Linked DNA regions of Ovis aries. The protein of the gene in region 2 purifies or fractionates together with the protein of the main gene of each other region. This does not show direct contact. Links are inferred from orthologs where the notes say so. Each region holds a gene or a part of one and is shown on either strand. Other genes may lie near its edges.

Evidence for each region. The genes of interacting proteins can lie anywhere in the genome.
Region 1: the proteins of PPP3CC (region 2) and RCAN3 purify together in Homo sapiens (affinity purification with mass spectrometry; 3 studies listed by BioGRID and IntAct, counting the BioPlex papers as one, with this or other methods). This does not show direct contact. The link is inferred for Ovis aries from reciprocal best matches to the Homo sapiens genes PPP3CC and RCAN3.

The regions. Positions count from the first base shown.
Region 1 is NC_056055.1:242,165,780-242,169,430, reverse strand, and holds part of RCAN3 (calcipressin-3), read left to right. Parts: intron 1-2,802; 5' UTR 2,803-2,848; coding exon 2,849-3,043; intron 3,044-3,651.
Region 2 is NC_056055.1:43,134,357-43,138,007, reverse strand, and holds part of PPP3CC (serine/threonine-protein phosphatase 2B catalytic subunit gamma isoform), read left to right. Parts: intron 1-2,491; coding exon 2,492-2,631; intron 2,632-3,651. UniProt on the Homo sapiens protein: Calcium-dependent, calmodulin-stimulated protein phosphatase which plays an essential role in the transduction of intracellular Ca(2+)-mediated signals. Dephosphorylates and activates transcription factor NFATC1.

The DNA.
Region 1 (3,651 bases), about 200 Mb from region 2:
AGTTAGGCATATTCAGTGGAAGGCTAAAAAGACGAGTCTGCAAGTCTAGATCTCAGGAGAGGCGGAGTCCAGGTATGTAACTCACACAGACCTGTGATTTTCCGTGTGCAAAGGCAGGAAGGACTTGAGGGCAGATTAGAATCTCTCAGGGTCACGTTGTTTTTCAAACCACCATCCCCTCCAGTGCCCAAGATCCTGCTTCCCCCTTCACTTCGGTGACATCTTTCCTGGCTGAAGAATAATTGTTGGAAGCAAGAGACTGTCTTGATAGACACATGTCATGCGGGTGAACCACAGGGAAGCAGGAAGCAGAGTTGAGAAACACTGGTGGCAGCGTAGTTAAATGCTGGGGCGTGGATGAAAGCGCTCAGGAAGAGTAAGATGACAAAGAGGATGGGGTTGAAACCTCAAGGAGACAGAGTTGTAAAGGCTGAGTGGAGAGAGAGGAGCCACTTTGAGGACAGATGAGGAGGAAGGAGAGCTGGGAGGCAGGGGCACAGAGACATCCCACGGTGGATGGGTGGGACCGGGGCCGTCCGGAGGCAGGTGCCAGCCCCGAGGAGGCTGCTGCTGTCCAGTCGGGGCCGGTTCAGCCGGAAGGTGGTGACAGGAGTCCAGCTGCCTGGAATTCAGGAGTGATGGGAGTCAAGGCGATTCCTCTTTCCAGGATGCCTCTAGAAAAGGGGAAGCAGAGACACAGGGAGGTGGATTGAGGGGCAGGCAGACTCCAAATGGAAAATTTTTCTTTTTTCAAAACTGGGGTGGGGTGGGGGCAGGGACTCAGGTAGATGTTTGCTAAGGAAGAAGAAAGACTGGGTGGAGACCGATACATTAAAACTATAGGAGGCAGGGCTTCCCTGGCGGTCCAGTGGTTAAGATTGTGTGCTTCTAATGCACGAGGCACAGGTTCGATTCCCGGTCAGGGAACTAAGATTCTACATGCTGTGCAGGGCAGCCAAAGAGGGGGGAAAAAAATTCTGAGCTCTAAAACAGTGACCCGAGTTTGACCCCTGGTCAGGGAACTAGATACCGCATGCCGCAACTAAGAGTTCACATGCTGTGAAAAGGAATGAATTTGACTCAGTTCTAGGGGAATGGGTGAACCTAGAGCCTTTATACAGAGAGGAGTAAGTCAGAAAGAGAAAAATATATACTAACATGTATATATGGAATCGAGAAAAATGGCACTGATGAACCTACTTGCTGGGCAGGAATAGAGATGCAGACAGAGAGAACAGATTTGTGGACACAGCGGGGGCTGGTGGCGGGGGGCCAGGAGGAAGGAGAGAGAGGGAAGAATGAGAGATGAGCAGAAACGTATGCATTACCGTATGCAAAATAGATAGCTAGTGGGAAGTTGCTGTATAACTCAGGGAGCTCAACTAGGTGCTCTGTGACAACCTAGAGGGGTGGGATCGGAAAGGGGGTGGGACCTATGTGTAGCTACGGCTGAGTCATGTTGTTGTATGGCAGAAACCAACACAACATTGTAAAGGAATTATCCTCCAATTAAAAAAAAAAAAAGAGTTCTCATGCTGCAGCTAAGACCCAGTGCAGCCAAATTAAAAAAAAAAAAAAAAAGCACACAGAAAACAAAAAAATGTGTGGGTGCCAAGATCCTTTTGAGGTGGTTGGTGTCGTTGAGGAGAAATTCTTGCTGGGTGGGAGCTCCTCGAGGATAGGAACCATGCTTTATTCATCTCATGGCTCCCTGTACCTGGCATGCAGTATAGATTCGGAAAATGTTTGTAAAAACAAGTGAAGATTTACTTTTTAGAATTAGCCTTTCCTGATTGATATAGTGTGATAACTGGGGGAAATCACTATTTTTTCCCCATAATTAACATTCTATATTGTACTCTTTGTAAGCAATCTATTTGCAACTTCGTGTTCTTTGAAATAAAAGAGAAAAATCACAGATTAGGTAATATTGAGGTAGTAATAATCATGCTTATTTAATTTTCTTGCGCCTGATAGGTAATGACTTAAATTCCAGCATCTTGAAATGTGTAAGGTTCAAGGCACCTGCCTGGTGGGTGTCATGTGCAGTTCATCAGAAGAGATAAAAACGGGTAAAAATAGTCTTATAAGGCAGTTGCTGTCCATTATTTAACAGAGGGACACTATCCGCTCCATGCTGGTAAAGGGATTTATTTTTAAGCATTCATTGAAAGGACATTTTTTAAATTGTCTTCTATGTCAGATTTTGCCTGTAGCTAATATTTCTGATATTAACAAGGACCGACTTTATATAGAGCTTTGGGTTCTGTGTAACTTAATTCTTCGAGAGTATATTCAAAAGAACAGATTGGTTAAAAAAGGTGAAGTCAGCTCATTGCAGGCCATATTTCAGGGTGCAGATGGTGAGTGAATCCGTGTGGGTTTTCTTCTGCTCTGCCAAGTTTCAGTGTTGTGGACCTAAATCCCAAACAAATATGGGAAGGAGGTTCTGGTTCACGTTTTCCTTCCCCCTGCTTGTAAACAGATGTGTATGTTGATAGTATCTCCTTTTGTATTATCCGCCCCCTGCCCCCACCACCTCATTTCACTAGGAAACTTCCAGCCTTTATTTTTCATAATAAGTCATTGCCTGTGAAATATCTTATGTAAAATATGCTAAGCAAATCAAATTAGTATATATAGAATTCATTGCTGAGGACCCTGATGAGTTGATTGATCTTTCCTGAATAAAATTGCCTCCTTTGATGAATTGCTGTCTTGAGAATTGATTGGAACCTTATTGGACCTTCAATATCTTATCTCTGTTGTTTTCTCTTTTTTTAAACACTTGATGCCTGGTAGACATCCTCGAACTTTAAAAACGGAGACGATCTGCTTTTAGAGGAAAATGCTGAGGGACGCTATGAAGTCTTGGAATGATAGCCAGTCAGATCTTTGCAGCACTGACCACGAAGAGGAAGAAGAGATGGTTTTTGGTGAAAATGAAGATGACTTGGAAGAGATGATGGATTTAAGTGACCTGCCTACCTCACTTTTTGCTTGCAGAGTCCATGAGGCAGTGTTCGAGGTGCCGGAGCAGAAGGTAGGCATACCTCCTACCTTTCTCTGTCTTTGCTAGTGTGTTGAATGTGTGTGGATTCGGGGAAGCAGTTGCTAGCTGCCTATTTGCAAAATTTGTTATTGGTCCATGGCAGGTAGAGAAGTGTGCACCAAACTTTAGACATTGCTTTGGCATTTTGGGGCTCACTGGTGGCTCAGACACAGTAAAGAATCTGCCTGCAATGAGGGAGACACAAGTTCGATCCCTGGGTTGGGACGATGCCCTGGATTAGGGTATGGCAACCCACTCCAATACTCTTGCCTGGATAATCCGATGAACAGAGGAGCCTGGAGGGCTGCAGTCCATTGGGTCTCAGAGTCGGACACGGCTGAGCGACTTTCACTTTCAGCCTTCTGGGATTTTTATTATGTTTTATGAGAATATCAGAGAAGGCAATGGCACCCCACTCCAGTACTCTTGCCTGGAAAATCCCATGGATGGAGGAGCCTGATGAGCTGCAGTCCATGGGGTTGCTAAGAGTTGGACACGACTGAGCGGCTTCACTTTCACTTTTCACTTTCATGCATTGGAGAAGGAAATGGCAACCCACTCCAGTGTTCTTGCCTGGAGAATCCCAGGGACAGGGCAGC
Region 2 (3,651 bases):
CTTTTATTGGGCAGTAGCTTCTATAAACATCTTTCCTGTATCTCTTCCAGTAAATGTCTAACTTTTAACAAAACCTGGCTTTTACAAACTAGAAACATAACATATTTTGAGTATAGCCCTGAAACTTTAAATTATATTGCAATAAGGACAGGAGGTAAGATGGTTGAATGGCATCACAGACTCGATGGATGTGAGTTTGCAGTCCATGCGGTCACAAAGAGTCAGGCATGACTGAGTGACTGAACTGAAGGAAGGAAGAAAACCAGGGTTCTAGTCCCTGTTCTGCCATTAATTATGTGATAGTGAAGTGAAAGTGTTAGTCACTCACTTGTGTCTGACTGTGATCCAATGGACTGTAGCTCGACAGGTTTCTCTGTTCATGGAATTCTCCAGGCAAGAATACTGGAGTGGGTTGCCATTCCCTACTCCAGGGGATCTTCCTGACCCAGGGATTGAACCCATTTTACCTACATCACAGGCAGATTCTTTACCATCTGAGCTTCCAGGGAAGCTGCCATTAATTGTGTAACCCATAGCAAATCACTTAACCTCTTAGATTTTCTTGTCTGTAAAATGAGGAAGTTGAAATGGATGGGCTGAGGACTCTTCATCTGTGAAATTCATTGACTTCGACTTTTTAGATGGTAGAGTTTAACTGCTACACTTGCCTTAGTTGGTAATCGTGATTTTCAGGACTGTGTATCTTCATGATTGAAAAAAGGCCATCAGTCTTTTTTCAATTATATTGTTCTGCGTCATCATCTTCTCTCCTCTGCCTTTGCATTCTCTTGTTTAGTTGCTAAGTCATGTCTGACTCTTTGCAGACCTGTGGACTGTAGCCCGCTAGGCTCCTCTGTCCATGGGATTTGCCAGTCAAGAATACTGGAGTGAGTTGCCATTTCCTCCTCCAGGGAATCTTCCCGACCCAGGAGCAAACCTGCATCTCCTGCATTGGCAGGAAGATTCTTTATCACTGAACCACAGGGAAGCCCCACAACGGAATATTATGAATAGCTATATACCAACAAATAGGGCAACCTAAAAGAAACAGACAAATTTTTAAAATCATACAGACTTCCAAGATGGAACCATGAAGAGATATTCTCTTACCTCTCTTACATACAGAGAGAGGAAAGGTATTCTCTTTCCTCTTTTTACAGAAACTAAAAAATTTTCTGTTTGGAAAACTCTTTTCTCTGACTTAAAGTTACTATTCTCAGGGTAAGAGGGTAGTAACAATGCACAGCCTTTTCTGCTGCCTTGTCATTAAATAAACAGCTGGTAAAGAATCCGCCTGCAATGCAGGAGACTCCGGTTCAATTCCTTGGTCAGAAAGATCTGGTGGATAAGGGATAGGGTACCCACTCCAGTATTCTTGGGCTTTCTTGATAGCTCAGCTGGTAAAGAATCTGCCTGCAATGTGGGAGACCTGGTATTCAACCCCTGGGTTGGGAAGATCCCTGGAAAAGGGAATGGCTACCCACTCTAATATTCTGGCCTGGAGCATTCCATGAACTATATATAGTCCATGGGGGTCACAAAGAGTTGGACACCCTGAGCGACTTTCACTTTCACTGTTTTACATAGTGGCACTTTCATTGTTTTACATAGTGAATCTCAAATTTTACAATTCTAAATCAGTCGTGTTAGTAAAAAGCGCCCCTTTCATTTCGTAGGGGTCCTTTTCTTGGCATTCAGCTCGCCTGGTCACTTGGTGCGTGTGCTTTCTTTTGTTTCTTTGTTTTCGTTTGTTAACTAAAGCACCAGTGATTAGAGGCTTCAGTTAATAACTTACGGTGAAATGCCTCCACTGCAGAGAATGGAAAGGATGAAACCTTTTGCAAACCCCCCCCCCCCCGAACTAGCATTCTTTAAAATAAATCTCCACCGGAATGAGATAAGCAATGAACAGAGCCATTGAAAACCCTTGCTGCTCTCATGGTAACCTGGACTCACCTAGGCAATTGAAATAGTCTTTCTCATAAATAGTATGTTTCCATAGTGATGGACTTCACATTCAAATTAAATGAGCACCACTTTTAAGATGAGGACGTAAGGGGATTTATTAATTAAAATTTGTTACCAAAAACTATGCATGTAAATTTATTAAATGTTCATTTTCATCCTAAAGGAAAATTCTTTAGGGGTTACTGCCCACTCTCCTAATACAGTCTTATGGTTGGAAGGGTCTTTTTTTGACCTCGACCAGGGCTTCCCCGGAGACTGAGCAGGAAAGAATGCATCTGCAATGCAGAAAACTAAAGAGATGAGGGTCCAGTCCCTGGACCGGGAGATCCCCAGATGGAGGGCGTGGCAACCCAATCTAGTATTCTTGCTGGGAAATCCCGTGGACAAAGGAACCTGGCGGGCTATAGCCCATGGGGTCATAAAGAGGCGGACATGACAGAAGCGACTGAACATGCACATACAGTTTCCAAAAGCTCTTTTGCTTTCATGATTTCTCTTCTTTTGGCTTTTGCGTGTCTTCTAGTTAGACAGGTTTAAAGAACCTCCAGCCTTTGGGCCAGTGTGTGACCTGCTTTGGTCTGATCCCTCCGAGGATTATGGCAATGAAAAGACCTTGGAACACTATACCCACAACACTGTCCGAGGGTGCTCTTATTTTTACAGGTAAGCTAATCCTCAGTTAAGATTAGATGGGGAAATAATGGAAACAGTGAGAGACTTTATTTTCTTGGGCTCCAAAATCACTGCAGATGGTGACTGCAGCCATGAAATTAAAAGACGCTTGCTCCTTGGAAGAAAAGCTATGACCAACCTAGACAGCATATTAAAACGCAGAGATATTACTTTGCCAACAAAGGTCCATGTAGTCAAAGCTATGATTTTTCCAGTAGTCATGTATGGATGTGAGATTTGGACTATAAAGAAAGCTGAGAGCTAAAGAATTGATGCTTTTGAACTATGGTGTTGGAGAAGACTCTTGAGAATCCGTTGGACTGCAAGGAGATCAAACCAGTCAATTCTAAAGGAAATCAGTCCTAAATATTCATTGGAAGGACTGATGCTGAAGCTGAAGCTCCAATACTTTGGCCACCTAATTTAAAGAACTGACTCATTGGAAAAGCCTCTGATGCTGGGAAAGATTGAAGGTGGGAGAAGGGGACGACAGAGGATGAGATGGTTGAATGTTATCACTGACTTGATGGATAAGAGTTTGAGCAGGCTCTGGGAGTCGGTGATGGACAGGGAAGCTTGGCGTGCCGTAGTCCATGGGGTCACAAAGAGTTGCACAAGACTGAGCGACTGAACTGAACTGAATCCTCAGAAAATTAGAAGAGGAAGTTATAATATACTTTATCAAAGTATTTTAAATTGCATATTTGGTATCTTGCATCTGTGTCATTCAGGGACTTCTACTCAATTTTTTGATTAATAAAAGGAAGAAACCGCTTTTCTTCCTTTGCTTGTTTTTTTATACTTTATTAGGTGTTATGCCCTAATAGGTGTAATATACCAAACGCAATTGAACACAACATCGTGTAGTGCTTAAGTGTTATTGTGTGACTCTGGATAATCTAGATTATCTGTTCCCAAACATCCTCTGTTGACTTCTTGAAAAATAAAGACTTCTTGGCTCTTCTTTCAGAGATTCTGGTTCAGTAAGCCTGAGACAAGGGAATCCTGTTA